2 linked regions of the Lonchura striata genome follow. The protein of the gene in region 2 purifies or fractionates together with the protein of the main gene of each other region. This does not show direct contact. Links are inferred from orthologs where the notes say so. Each region holds a gene or a part of one and is shown on either strand. Other genes may lie near its edges. The genes, in order: CUL5 and ASB9.

Evidence for each region.
Region 1: the proteins of ASB9 (region 2) and CUL5 purify together in Homo sapiens (affinity purification with mass spectrometry; 6 studies listed by BioGRID and IntAct, counting the BioPlex papers as one, with this or other methods). This does not show direct contact. The link is inferred for Lonchura striata from reciprocal best matches to the Homo sapiens genes ASB9 and CUL5.

Annotation. Positions count from the first base shown.
Region 1 is NC_134604.1:44,394,499-44,401,571, forward strand, and holds the start of CUL5 (cullin-5), read left to right. Parts: upstream 1-3,825; 5' UTR 3,826-4,072; coding exon 4,073-4,096; intron 4,097-7,073. UniProt on the Homo sapiens protein: Core component of multiple cullin-5-RING E3 ubiquitin-protein ligase complexes (ECS complexes, also named CRL5 complexes), which mediate the ubiquitination and subsequent proteasomal degradation of target proteins.
Region 2 is NC_134604.1:100,010,169-100,018,318, reverse strand, and holds the start of ASB9 (ankyrin repeat and SOCS box protein 9), read left to right. Parts: upstream 1-5,088; 5' UTR 5,089-5,323; coding exon 5,324-5,417; intron 5,418-8,150. UniProt on the Homo sapiens protein: Substrate-recognition component of a cullin-5-RING E3 ubiquitin-protein ligase complex (ECS complex, also named CRL5 complex), which mediates the ubiquitination and subsequent proteasomal degradation of target proteins.

The sequences.
Region 1 (7,073 bases), about 56 Mb from region 2:
CTGAGTGTTCTTGCCCTTTTAAAAGGATTGTCTTTAGTCACTCACAGTACGTTTTGTGCATGGGTTCGTTGTGACAATCCACAGCAGTGATAAACAAGAATTTCCAATTGAAAGAAAAACTAAGTCTTAGTATCCCTACTGAATATAACTAGATTGATGGGAGAAGAGTTTAAAATGGACTAATCAACCATCACATTTTTCCCTTCATGAACTAAGATTAGAAGAAACTATTTTCATCTTACTGGTTTCAGGTCATTAGAACAGATCATAGAAATACATATTCCTCTCTGATGCAACTCATTCAAAGCTTGGAATCACTGTACTCCAAAATATATAGAATATTATGATGATATGAGTTTCACTCATCATCCAAATCTTAATGAGCTGTTCCTTGCAAATCACTTTGAAGCAGTGCATGTCTGGGATTGTGATTCCCTCTGCCTTTTACAATCCATGCAAAGGATTAAAACTGTAGACCAGTGTAGTACCAATCAGTAATTAATATCTTCATTAACAGCAGAATTGAATAATAATCCATCTGTAATAGAATTAAAGTAAATAAAACAATATTGTGTAACACTGAGCACTGCAGAAACACCCTGAAGTGGTACTAACATCCTACAAATCCTTAAGATTCACAGATGTCTTTGCTTCCCAGAAAATTCGTGTACAGATCTTCAGGGGGAAAAAACCCAAACAATTACAGTCATTGTATAAACCATGTAAAATGAGATACTCACTATTTTCAATATCAGTAAAAAGTACCAGCATTTCCTTGTCTCTCTGCTTCTCAGATGTTCAAGTTCTCTTTATTCCTTGGCTAACCTATTTATAAGTATTTCACAAGAGCATATTGGGGCAGGATGCACAAACTCTCATACCCAGAACAGTCACTGCTGACCCATCCAGGCTAGCAGCGTGTTACACGATATCTGTCAGGTGCCTAAGGGGACTTAGACCAGACCATGAAAAGTACACTGGTGCTATTGAATTCTGTGTACTCACACATTTTTGCGCCAACACTTGGTAAGTTTGGATGCAATAAAGAAACAGTTGGAATAAAACAATTAAAATTAAATAGAATTATTAGAAATAAGCAATCACAATAGAATATGATGATCTCATTTTGAATAACTGTATCCAACAAAACAATGGAATTGACAAAACTGATTTGTTTTTTTAATATAACAATTGAATAACACGATTAATGAATTGAAATAAACAGATCAGAATAAAACTATTGAAATAAAACAATTGGAATATTTTTAATTTAACAATTGAATAAAAAATTAATCTAAATAAATCAGAATAAAACTATTGAAATAAAACAATTAGAATAAAATAATTGAAATAGCAACTTTTAACCTAGTTCAGATTTAAATGAGAATAATTGAAAATCAGATAATTGAAATAGAATGAAATAATTAGTAGAATTGAAACAGAATAACTGAAATAGAATAATTTAAATCACACCTGTCAAATTTAAATAATTAAATTGAATTATTGGAATTAAATAATTAAACAAATTTTGTTAAGTAGAACAATTGAATAAAATAATTAAATAATTAAATTGAATTATTGGAATTAAATAATTAAATTGGACAAATTTAGTCTAGTAAAACAATTCTAAAACAATTGATAAACAATTAAAATGTAGAATTAAATTTTAAAATGTAGAATTTTAAATGTAGAATTAAATTTTAAAAATTTAAATTAAAATGTAGAATTAAAATTGATAAAACAATTAAAATGTAGAATCAAAATAAAACTAAACTATTAGAATACCATATGAATCTAACAGAAACAACTAAATAAAACAATCTGAATAGATTACAATAAAAAGATCAAACAAAATTTAACTATTAATGATCCAAAATGCCAAATTGGAATTCTCGCAATTGAAATAAATACAATGAACAAAAAAAATTAAATAATCCAATAAAACAAACAATCTTTAGAGACAAAAAACAATAAAAGAACTCACTATAACTGACAACAAGATTCCAATCACAACTAAGTCACACATATAAATAAATTGTATTTCTTATAATTTAATGATAAGGACCACAAACTTAAGCACAGCTAACAAGACGGCCACCAGGGCCCTCTGTCAGTCTTAGACCCCCCTTGGTCCACCTCCTTCTGTATCAATCAATGCCTGCCTGTTACGGCTCCCCCTCCCTTTCAGCCCAGTCACAAAATGGGTCCTCTGAGCCACCACTGATTCGCACTCAAAATGGCACCTCAGAGCTGTCAGCACCACTCACCCCAAAATTAAAATTAAACTTTTTACTTATTCCAAAAAAATAGTTAGTACCAACTAAATGAAAGTAGTCTTGAACTCAAACATAAAAATTAGCAGCTTATAAATTTTAATACCTCTGCTTTCAAACTAACAGTACAATATGCAGAAATTCTCTCTCTCTAACTAAATGCTTTTAAATTCACTTTCCCTGTCTGGTGAGTGGTCTGGGGACTCTTGGCCACCATCCATCCCAGAACCTCACTATACTGGTGCTCCCACCTTCCACACTCACACAATTAACTCGGCTGGAAACAGTTAAACAATAACCATTTGTATCCCAAATAATCAGTATCTAAAAAGCAATTATACCAACAAATTACATCCAGGTAGTCCTGGACTCGAAAGTAAAAACTACGTAACTGAAGTACCACGTAAAAGAAAAATAGAAATTATAAATTACCTGCCTATGGTAGGTAGGTTCTACTCTCCCTGACCCAGGCTAGGAGGAGATCCCAACCCCCGACTCCAGCTCCTAATGAGCTGAACGGCCTCTCCTAGCTGGCCACTCTCACTTTGAGTCACCAGGCCAGGAGGATCCCCTAACTCCCCTTTCATGGCTGAAACCAGATGCGTCCACCTGCCCAGTCCACCCCGTGCAGGACCAGGTGCGAACACCACCCCGTGCGCCCTGCCATGTGGAGAGTTAGGGTCCTGCCCATACCCCAAGCTGGGACTCCATTCTCCCTGCTACTTAAAAGGAGGACATTCCCTAACCGGTGGCTCCCTGTCATTGTTCCAACCTCCCTGCTCAATCAGGGCCATCCTAGAGCAGAGGATTGTGTCCAGACAGTTCTTGAATTCTCCAGTGAGAGAGACTCCACAACTGCTTTGGGCAATCTGTTCCAGTGCTCGGGCATCTTCACAGTAAAGAAGTTCCTCCTTATGTTCAGGTAGAACTTCCGTGCCCATCGTCTCTCCTTCCAGTTGCTGCGCACCACTGAGAAGAGCCTGGCCATTCTCCTGACACCCTTCCTGCAGATGCTTACACACTTAATAATTCTGTAAATAGAACATTCGTGACATCTGGCACGAAGCGTGGCGGCTTAGCTGGATGGGCGTAGGGCAGGGAATTGGCTTGTCGGCACACGGCTCAGTGCGGGTGGCCGTGCGGGTGTGCCCGCGGTGCTCCCCGATCCCTCCGCCAGGGCGTGCGGAGGTCTGCGCCGCAGCACCCGCAGGGACAGCACGGCGGGACGGCCGGGGCTAGTCAGTCAGTCAGTCAGTCAGTCAGTCAGTCAGTCAGTTAGTTAGTTAGTTAGTTAGTTAGTTAGTTAGTTAGTTAGTAGTCAAGTTGTTTCTGCGCTTGCGGGCCACAGCGCCCCGTCCCGCCGAACGCGGGGCCCCGTGCCGAGCCCCGCCCCGCGGCGCCGGGCGGCGCGGCGGCGGGCCGGCAGGGGGCGCTGCAGGCGGGCCGCGGCCGCGCGGGGCGGCGGGGCCGCTCCCAGCGCCGCATCATGTGGGCCCGGCCCCTTCCATGGAGCCGCGGCCGCCGAGCGCCGCCCGGGCGGACGCTGCCATGAGGCTCTGAGGGCGGCTGCGTGCCGAGCACCCGGCCGGTCCCAGCCGCTGCCGGGCTCCCTGAGCCTCGCCGCGGGACAAGGAAGCCTAACGCTGAGGCCGCCGCCGCTGCTGCCGCTGCCGCCGCGGGTCCGGCCGGGCGGGCGAGCGGCCCGGGGCCATGTAAAGCGGCAGCGGCCGGTGGGAGCCGAGCCGAGCTCGAGCAGAGAAACCGCCGTGGCCGGCCGGGAAGGCCCCGCAGTGGGGATCATGGCGACGTCTAATCTCCTAAAGGTGAGAGCGGAGCCCGGCCGAGTCCTGCGGGAGGAGGGGGGAGGCGGCGGGGCCGGGCGGCCCTGCGCTGGCCGGGCCGGGCAGGGCAGCGGGGCCGGGGGCAGGGCCTGGCGCGGGCCGCGGGTGCCGCTGGCCGGGGTTGCCGCTCCAGGGCCCGCCCGCAGGTGAGCGGCCTTGGGCTGCCGGCCCGGCCCGGCCCCGCCGGCAGCTGCTGCCTGCTGCCGGCCCGCGATCCCTGCCCCCGGCTCTCCCTTCCCAAACACGCCCCGTTGGGAAACACCGCTGCGTCGTGCGGATAGACAGGGCACCGTGTCTTCTCTTTGTTTATTTAAGAAAATCCGGGTGTACGGGAGATGAGTTTTAAGTTAAACAAAGAGTTGGAAAATGTCTTTGCCGAGGGCAGGTGCCGTTATTGGGGTGCCCACCGTGTTCCAGTTTTTTTGTTAACTGCAGTTTTCCTGCAAAGGAGAACTCCCGGAGGCCTTTCACTTACGTTAAGCAGCTTTGCTTTTGTAGTCATATGTTTTCAAGCACTTTCCTGGCGTTTGATGGCAGATGTCAGTCACCCCAGGCTCCTACAGGTTGGAACGGAAGATTTCAGTGGGACAGTCCAGTGTTAGAGTTCAGGACTGCCTGTCCTGATCTTTGTGGTATGTATGAGGAGAAGACTCTGTGTGGCCTTTGAGGCCATGCTAGCACAGGGAAGACGGGCCTACTTGAAACCACTGTTATTAGTGCCTACAGTAAGTGTTTCTAAACCACCAGTTAACTACAGTGCTAAGATAGGCCTAGGGCAGGCTGTCTGCTTGAGGGATTGACAATTGAAGATATATATAAATATAGGCATAAACATATGTTCATTACTGCATGTTATAGTTCAGTATGGTCCTGGAAAAGTGCTGCTTGCATTTTACTAACCTGACCTAATTTGGATGCATAGATTTAGCCTGAATCTGCTGGTTTTATTTATTACTCTGGGACATTCATTGTGAAGAAATGAGAACTAATTTATCCCTTTGTCTCTTCAGGATATTAAAAAAACTCTATATTAAAAAGAAATGTTTAAAAAAAATCTTCCTTGAAATTGAAATTATTTTGAATTCATTCCTGTATAGTTTTATGCCTGTAAGAAGTTGTTAGATATTTAAGCAGATAATACTTCAAAATACTTAAAAATCTAAAACTGAGGAACCTAAGAATACAGGCGAAAAAAATATCTCATAAGAAGAAATATTCTTTTTGTGGAAATGCATGTGTTCAGAGCAGGTCTCAGTTTTATCCACTTGTTAATGTTTTAGATCATCTCTTTTCTGTGCATTTGAGGATTTCTCAAAAGTCCAGCACATGCTCTGATGATACATGTGATGGGATAGCCCACAGCAGATAGGAGAAACATAAGCCGTAAGATTTGTCAGCATTCCACTTCAGCTATTTTGAAAGAGCAGTAAAGAGGCCTTGACTTGGTGCGATGTCCCTTGCCAAACTGAAGTCTTTTTGTTAACTGGTCATGATTTTGCCATTGGCCTTTGAGTCGTCAGTGTTTTATATTGACAATAAGATATATATGTGCAGTGTGTTTAAGGAAAAATGCCGCAGAGATGTCTTGTAAAATAGGCATTTCTGGTCACTCAAAGTGTTACTAAGCATTTAGTTTACTAATTAGTCAGTTTTTCAATGACAATAAAGTATGATTCCCACATTACAGAAGGAAAGATTATGCAGTGATTTGACTTGGTTTATAATGGCAAGATAAACTAGTGTGAGAATTAGAAATAGGTAAGGTGTTTTGTTCCCCAATTCCATTTGTCAGAGTGCTCTCTGAGAAGCAAACTGTTCATTCCAGGTCAGTGTTCCCTGGCAGTGCCTTGTGCCCTCTGAGTCTGTCCAACCTACTTCTGCTTTCATCTTTAAATGGGGAAAAAAACAATGTCTGGGCACAGTAAAAATCCCAGGATAAGGAAGGAGAGGTGTTAAAATCTGAAAGTTTTTTTCATATCTGTTTCAAATAAGCCTGCATAATCAAATCTATGTTGGGTATAGACAGGCCTTAGTTTTGCCAGCATGAGCAGGACCTGAGTATCTTCTTTTGTTTTCCCCCATCCAGCTTTCCGCATAGTTGAGACAATGAAGTGAAATATTCCTTTCTGATTCTATTAACAGATAGTAGCTGAATCGAAATCTGACTGGCCATCATAATTTTTGAGGGTGTCATTTAAACTCCACTAGTGCTTAATTTTCCTAATTGTAAATTCTTTTCTGAAAAGCATATTCTTGGAGAGCCTTCTTTAAATGCAAAATTAGAATGAGCAGTCGTGTTGAATCCTAGTGAGACAGAGCAAACTGTAATGTGATGGAAATGCTTAGTAAGAGCCATTACAGGGTCAGCTGGTGCCTGCCTTACCTGTAGCAGAGCTGCTCTCCCTCGCTGAGGCAGTGGCTTTCTGATAGGTGACCAAGCCATTTCCAGCGGAGTCCCTAGAGTTTTTTGTCTCAACACACATGTGACACTTCTAAAGTGGGATACTTCATTTCAGGGGCCCTGTAGGATTATAACTTGTTCTCTTTGCAGTGATGATACAGTCTAAACCAATTCACCCATGTGACATGAAGACATTTCAGTTTTTCTGAAGTTTGTTGAACAGAAGAGACGTTAGCTTATTGTAGCACAAAGAAAACCTATAGCTGTATCCATGCTGGCAGATCTTGCTATTGTAGGGCCTTACTGGAGCTGCCAGCAAATGCAGGAGTCTATCCTTGCAAGATGAACTGCACTATGAGCCTGATATTAGGAAAGAAGCAACAGTTTTTCCTTGAGCTTAAATTATATGAGAATCACTGCTTACCTTTGTATCAGTTTGACCTGTTTGTTGCTGACAACTAGAAACACCTTTGAAGGTTTTGAATTTTTTGACTTGGAGTACATGTTTCCAGATCTGATTTTAAGTTTGTCTGTTTCTTTTTGGCTGTTTCCATTAGG
Region 2 (8,150 bases):
TCTGTGGGGAAATGCCCCTAATCCCTTTCTTGACACAATACTTGTTTGCAAGCTCTCATGCAATGTTTGTCCTGCTCCTTGGGAAATCTTGGTGCTTCTCCACATCTGCAATGAATAAGAGCACAGATCCAGGTGCTACTGATGTAGCCAGAATGCAACTGAGATGTGTCTGAAGCTTTCTTCAAGGTTTTTTTGTTTCAATTTAGAGTCTCTCTTGCTAAGTCAATTGGCCATCCTGCAGAAGGGAACATTTACTTGCAGAAGTCTGTCTGGTCCCCAGCCAGGCTGACGGGATGTTTGCAAAGGGAAGTTTCTGTGAGGGTGAGAGGAAGGAAAATGAAACATTTCATGTTAGAAAAACTGTAAAAGAAGGAAAGCCTCTGGAGGAGAGACTTGATTTGAGGCAAGGAAATTAGGGATACAAGAATCAGACTGTATGATTAATTTCTCCAAGGGCGAACTTCTCCACTTTGTGTCAGCTCAAGAATTTCGCAGCAGCTTTCCAAAGAAAACCCAGGTACCTCTGGAAATGACACCAGTGCTTTAGTACTCCTGTGGGCAAGCTCTGGCAGATTTAACTGCTGTGATTTAAAACATGGCTGTCCCAGATGTGTGCCTTGCTTGCTGACTGGAAATTGCTGCCTTAGAGGAGGATCTGGCATGTGCTAGTGTCTCAGAGCTCAAGTTTACAGTCTGTAGAAGAAAACAGCTTTTACAGGTTTTTGAGCTGACACGATGGCCCAGTACTGAGACAGCTGTGGCATCACTTTGTGGCCAGTGCTGCCATCCCTGGTACTGGGTAATCTCTGCTGAGAGTTGGGAGCAATAGCTTGGATCAATGCAGATAAATCTGTCAGAATTGTCTGTCAAAACCCTGCTCTGAGATACAGGCACTCCAAAGTTGAGGCTCTGTGGTTCAGGCACTGGGCAATGCTGGCTTTTGTCTGGGCTGAAGATGCTTCACCCTGAGCTGCAGCACCCAGAGGCTGTGCAGGACAAGGCACATGGCAGCACTCAGGGGTGTCAGAGCTGGGACCCCTGGCTGTCAGTTCACCCATATTTCAAAGCGGGTTTCAGCTGTTTACACATACACATCTAATTCCACCTAATTCTCTGCTCATGGTTTAGGGATCCCTTTTACAGTTGGTGAAGACTGACTCTAATATTCAATATGTGCTCCCCCAGAGCAAGCATCTAAAGTAGGTGAGACAAAGCATGGTTTGAAAGTGCCTATGTTTCTTCATTAATGCTAAGGAAAAGCTAGGATTTCTCACCCTGATTCTGAAGTTAAATTGAACTTCAGTTGGACTAAATTTAAGTTAATTGAAGTTAAATTATGTTTTGTGTCCAATTTTCCAAACATTTCCTGTAATTCTGTGATTTGCATCCTCAGAAACCAAGGGTCAATTTTCATACCAAGACAGATTTACCAGTAGTGTATTTTCGTTTTTGAAGCAATATTTGTGCTAATAGTAATAAAATTGGTATAAAAGTTATCTGGACAAGTTAAAAAATTGATTAACAACTGGAAATAAAAAAGAACCAAGACAGTAGAACAGTCCATTGAATTACAAAAAATGTAGATTTTTTTTTGAAGGAGGAAAAAGAAAATATTCCTTTTATAAGACATGATGTAAATAGAAAAAAGTAATATTAACTGTTGTTGATTCCACTTTATTGTGCACTTCTATGCACCAAGGATGGCTGCACTTGAATAAGGATAAAGTAATTTCTGTACTAGGCCTGTTTATGTAGAACTTAGGGATGTATTTGCTACTTAAATGGAAAATAATATTGTAATGCTTAAAAGCTCTGGTGTGTCTCTGTGTTGTGTAAGCTGTTTCTAATCTGTATTTGAAGTTCTGTGTTGTTTATCTTGAGATCCAGGTTGATGTTAAAATGTTCCCTTTTTACTGGAGAATTTTTTGCTTGCTTACATAAAAGATCAGCAACAAAAGAGATTAAATTAATCAAAGCCTTCTTGCATATTCCAGCTCTCAGCAAGGCTGAGAACAACCTATAGGAATCCCCTGGTTTTGGGATGTGTTATTTGGGGAGTTTAATTTAGTTTGATGATTCCATTCACATCAAAATGATGCTTAAGAAGTAGAGTGGCTATAGATGGTTAAATAATATTAAGGTGATCACCAGGCCAAAGCCACACACTGCCTCTGTAGGTATGCCTGAATTGCTAGCTGAAGCAAGAGCTCAGGAGATAATTTATGTCTGTCAAACTCAGGATCTGTGTGTTTTCTAGTTACTCTCTGCTGTAATCTGGCTGCATGTCAGCATAAGGGCATCTGAAATGTAGCTCAGAGGAGCACAGCTGTCACAACAGACTGGATTGGGCTGGAAGGGACCTTAAAGTTCATCTAGTCCCAGGCCCCTGCCATGAGCAGGGCTGCCACTCTAGATCAGGTTGCTCAGAGTACCATCTAATCTGGCCTTGAATGCTTCCAGGGATGAGGCATTCACAGCCTCCCAGGGCAACATTTCCAGCACCTCACAAGTCTGTGAGCAAAGAATTTCTTCCTAGCATCTAATATAAATCTAAATTTTCAATCTAAATCCATTGACATTTGGTCTGGAATGATCTGCTCATGTAAGAAGTCTCTCTCCCTCCTTTTTATAAGCACCCTAAGGTACTGGAAGACTACAGCAAGGCCTCTCTAAAGCCTCCTCTTCTCCAGGCTGATCAAGTCCAGCTCTCTCAGCCTGTCTTCATGGGAGAGGTGCTTCAGCTCTCTGAGCATCTTTGTGCTCCTCCTTTGCACCTGCTCTAACAAATCCATGTTTTTATGGTGCTGGACCCCACAGTAGGATGCAGGACTCCTGGTAGGGTCTCATGAGGGCAAAGTAGAGGGGGAGAATCCCCTTCCCTGGACCTGCTGGCTGGGCTGCTTTGGATGCAGCCCAGGGTGCCTTGGGCCTCCTGGGCTGCAAGCGCACACTGTGGGCTCATGTCCAGCTTTTCATCCACAGGAACCCCCAGGTCCTTCTCTGCAGGGCTGCCCTCAGTGACTTCTCCTCCCTTGTCTTCTGTGCTCATGTCTGGGATCACCCTGACTCAGGTGCAGCACCTTGCACTTGGATTTGTTGAACCTCAGGAGGTGCTCATGGGCCCACTCCTCAAGCTTGTCCAGGTCCCCAGCGGTTGCATCCTGTCCTTAAGGAATATCAACTGCACCATTCAAATTCATTCAAATCTGCAAACTTCCTGAGGCACCAGGTCTCACTGGTCATTACTGCATTTACCTTCTTGGTCATCAGAGAAGATAACACAGCTCTGAGCTTGCACATTTGGTTTCATACACGGATTCCTTTTGGTGGTGGAATTGTTGAAATGGTTGTTAATACTAGATCTGCCAGCAATATGATCAATCATGAAAAGGGGCAACCTAACCTCTAAAATCAAGTAACACTAAAGAGAAAAAAATGGGTTTTTTTCATTCTTTTTACATGTTAATCCTCAGAAACAATACCTACATACACCACGTTCTCTGTTTACACATTTTTCCCACACCAGTTTGGCTAAGACACAAATGTAATTTTCAGGGAGATCAAAGCTTGTATCCAGCATGGGAGGCCATGCTGCATTCAGCAAGAAGTGCCATGGAAAGGGCTGGCCCTGTCCTCATCTGTGCCCAGGCTGCTGTCACAGATTCCCTGTTGGCAAAGTGTGTGGATGATGTTCAGCTGCTGTTTGCATCTTTTAATATAAATTATTATTTTTAAAGATATGGACAAAGAAACCCTAAATATTATTCCAGATTTCTTGCATACATTACAGAAAGAAATAAAATTAAAACCAAGTTTCTTAGGCTCAGCTAAGTTAGGATCAGAATCAAAATACTATAAGCAACTTCAAATCCTCAAATACACAAACACAAATTTTGCTCTAGTAGCCATACAGGACAAAAAAAAAAAAAAAAGAAAAAAAAGAAAAACATTACATGGTTTAGAATTTGCATGGAAATTCTACTTGAACATAAGTAGAAGCCTACTTCCACTTGAACACAAATGCGCAAATATTCAGTGACAGAAAAAGGATTTTGTGCTTGTAAATTATACTGTACTGGGAAGGAAAATATTTTAAATAGAGATGACCTGTGAGAACAGAACTTTTGCAAAACAGACACTCTGCCTGCCCTGTTCTCTGCCTGTCCTGTTCTCTGCCTGTCCTGTTCTCTGCCTGTCCTGGCTCTGCCTGTCCCGGCTCTGCCTGTCCTGTTCTCTGCCTGTCCCAGCTCTCCCTGCCCTGTTCTCTGCCTGTCCAGTTCTCTGCCTGTCCTGTTCTCTGCCTGTCCCAGCTCTCCCTGCCCTGTTCTCTGCCTGTCCAGTTCTCTGCCTGTCCTGTTCTCTGCCTGTCCCGGCTCTGCCTGTCCTGTTCTCTGCCTGTCCCAGCTCTCCCTGTCCTGTTCTCTCCCTGTCCTGTTCTCTGCCTGTCCTGTTCTCTGCCTGTCCCGGCTCTGCCTGTCCCGGCTCTGCCTGTCCTGTTCTCTGCCTGTCCTGGCTCTGCCTGTCCTGTTCTCTGCCTGTCCCGGCTCTGCCTGTCCCGGCTCTGCCTGTCCTGTTCTCTGCCTGTCCTGGCTCTGCCTGTCCTGTTCTCTGCCTGTCCTGGCTCTGCCTGTCCCGGCTCTGCCTGTCCTGTTCTCTCCCTGTCCCGGCTCTGCCTGTCCTGTTCTCTCCCTGTCCTGTTCTCTGCCTGTCCTGTTCTCTGCCTGTCCCGGCTCTGCCTGCCCCGGCTCTGCCTGTCCTGTTCTCTCCCTGTCCTGTTCTCTGCCTGTCCCGGCTCTCCCTGTCCCGGCTCTCCCTGCCCTGTTCTCTCCCTGCCCTATTCTCTGCCTGCCCTGGCTCTGCCGGCTCTCCCTGCCCTGTTCTCTCCCTGCCCTATTCTCTGCCTGCCCTAGCTCTGCCGGCTCTCTCTGCGCATCCCCTGAAGGCAGAGTTTGTTCAACTAGTCGAACTGGCTCTTTCTGTCTTGTTTTTTTTTGGCAAACTAAGAATTTCCTTCCTGATAAAAAAGAGCGGCGGGCGCCCCGATTGGGCGTCTCGTTGGAGAGGATGTGACATCAGGCACATCTCTGGCTTGGCTGGGTCTCTGGCTGCCGAGCAGGGCAGCCCGGGAGCAGCTTTGTCAAATCGCAGCCCCGGCGCTCGGCTCTGCGCGCTCCGAGCTGCCGCCGGCGCTGCTCGGCTCATGCGTGCGGGGTCCGCTCCGGAGAGCGCTCCGGCCGCTGCGGGCTCGCCGGGGAACATGGAATTTGAACTCTGGAAACCAGCCACAGAGTGAAAAGACAGCGGCTGGGCAGGCAGGGCTGAGATGGATGATGAGAGAACGAATCAAAATGCCAGCAAACTGCAAGGAGCTGGAGGCCGGGCATCTGCAGCGACTCCGTGGAGCCCGCTGATGAGGGGTGAGTGACGCTCCTGCCCGGCACAAGCCTCAGCCCTGCCGGAGGGCAGCGGGGGCTGCGGTGCTGCTGCTCCCCGGGTCCTGCTTCAGGACAGCTCCTCACCCGGTCCCACAAAACACCCCCACGACTTCGTGGAAAAAAAAGCTATTTCTGTTTGATACTGAAATTTTGGTTGTTTCTTTTTCGTGTCATAGAAGAGAGTGGTTGGTTTTGTACTGCAGTTTGTGCAAGCAGAAATAAATGTAGCAGCACTTGGACTGCAGCACACTGAGAAATAAGTTGAAATGTGGCGTGTTTGACTTAAATTAGTGCCAGCAGGAAGCTCAGCAGTAGCTCAATTCCTTCTTTTTCTTTCTTTTTCTTTTTCTTTTTCTTTTTCTTTTTCTTTTTCTTTTTCTTTTTCTTTTTCTTTTTCTTTTTCTTTTTCTTTTTCTTTTTCTTTTTTCTTTTTTTTTTCTTTTTCTTTCTTTTATTTTTTCTTTTTATTTTTCTTTCTTTTTTCTTTCTTTTTTTCTTTCTTTTTTCATTCCCTTCCTCCTTACTTTCCTTCTTTTTCTCCTTCCTTTTAATTATTTTAATTTTTTTTTTTCATTTTTATCTTTCTTCTTCTTTATCCTTTTTTTCTTTATCTTTTATCCTTTCCCCTTGTCTTTCAGATGAACAGACCTAAGTGTTGTTTAGGCTGAGCCTACTGGGCTCTTCTTCAGTGGCATTGCTGTGACCAGTGCTGTTGTGGGCACATAATAGTGAGCAGTTACTCAGACAAATGGCCTCACTCTGGTCATTGCTCTGTGTCTGGCCCAGAGCCATTGAAAATATGACATGGTAAAAAAAAGACAAGTAATTAAACTTTGTATCCTGAGCTGGATGTGTTCGCTGTAGCTCTGTTTCTGTTAAGTTACTCCTTCCTCTAATGGCGAGTGCAGATGGAATGAGGTAAATTCAGAAAATGTGACTATGCTATCCTTGCTCTTTTTCTGGGCTGTTCAGGATGCTTCCATTAACACTAAGTTGAAAATTAAGACCATAAAGCCAAAATGCAGGGCTGACCAGTCTATCTGCAGTGTAGTCTGCCTGCCCCCGTGTGTGCCATGTATGTACAGCCTGAGGCTGGGCTGAGCAGGAAGGCACAGTGATACCATTAACTGTGTGAAATAGAACCAGTCCACACTGGAGATGAGCTCCAGCAAAATGGAGGGTGGAAGGACGGAATCCCACATGGCACAATGCTGCACACAGATCATTTGGTCCTTTGAAAATCAAAGTTTAGTCCATTCCTTTTGTGTCTGCCTGTTCCTTAGCAGAGTCAATAAGCTCTGCTCGCAATTTCCAGCAGGAATGTGTTTAGCTCAAGCTATGTAGATCACAAACTTTAAGGGACAGCCTTTGAGTATGGAAAATACAATTTGTAATACTGTTCTATATAATGCCATAGGATTTTGTATCTGAAAATATGAATGCAAGAGCACACCTTCACTAGGAGGACTTAAGAGCCCCTTTCAAGTTGTGCTGTATGTGAGAGGCATGGGAAGAAACCAGCCTGGGGACAGGCACAGGCACCATGTGCAATGCCCTCACATGGTCAGAGGCTGCAAAAAGTTGCTTCAGCCATCACAACAAAAACCAGTGCTCTAGAAAGGTCCTGTGAGAGCTCTGTTGTGCACAGGGAGCAGTCAGATTTTGCATGTGTACATGGTTATTGCTATAAGACTCCCTCTGTATACACCACCCTGCCAGTGTCACATGCCTGAGTGATGGCAGTGCTCAAATATGACCAGGGGTTTAATGTAACCTCTGGGCTGGCTGGAGTTTTCTGCAGTGGAAGGGGAGGTGACCCAAAGCCACTGAAAGCCAGTGGGATTTAGATGTCTAGCTAAACTACTGGGGTCTGACTCAGACTCCCTGTGGACTAAGGTGTGGGTAAATTTCAAATTTGGACAAATTATCTTGTTTCTTTGTGAAAGAGCAGCTGTACTATTTTTGACAATCAGGAATCCTTGTTTTGGTGGTGGTACATACAATGAACCACTGCATCCCCCACACACACTGGCCTTGCTAGTCCATATGCAGAGTGCTCTGGGCACATTCATGAAAATCACTAGTTCGGGATTTTGAAAGCCCATAATCAACTAGAATTGACATTTGCTTAGGCCTTAATCAAATACAATACACATCTTTTATATTCTGATAGTGTGCCTCCTGTGAAGTGTAAAAGAGGGCAGTGAGACATGGAAATTACTGCAGCCTTTCTCCTCTTCCAGGCAAGGACCTTGAGTTCCAGCCTGGAGCAGGCAGAAAAAAGAAATATGGTTATTTGTGAGAAGGTGATGCCTGGGGTTAAGAAACTGAAGAAATTTGCCATCTTTTCCAAGGGCCTCCATTCCAATGCCTTCCTGGCACTGCTTCAGGTTAGAAGTGCTTGCTGCAGATGGAGGTAGGGCAGGAGAAACATCAGCCTGAGGCTGTGCAGTTCATGGCAGCAGATCTGGAATTATGTCATCCCAATTAGTCATCAGTCAGGCCTTTAATCCTGCTCCTCCCAAGGTGTCCAAGGCTGGTGTGACAGACTCCCTAGGGCTCCATAGGGCTCCACTTCCACCTAGGATAAAACTCTAGGTTTCTCTCAGTTACGGAACTCCCAGATAGATTACGTGTCAGCACATATCTCTTTTATTTTTTACTGACATTTATTTTTAATGCCTATATGGTCAATCTTTTAATTCATTGTTAAAA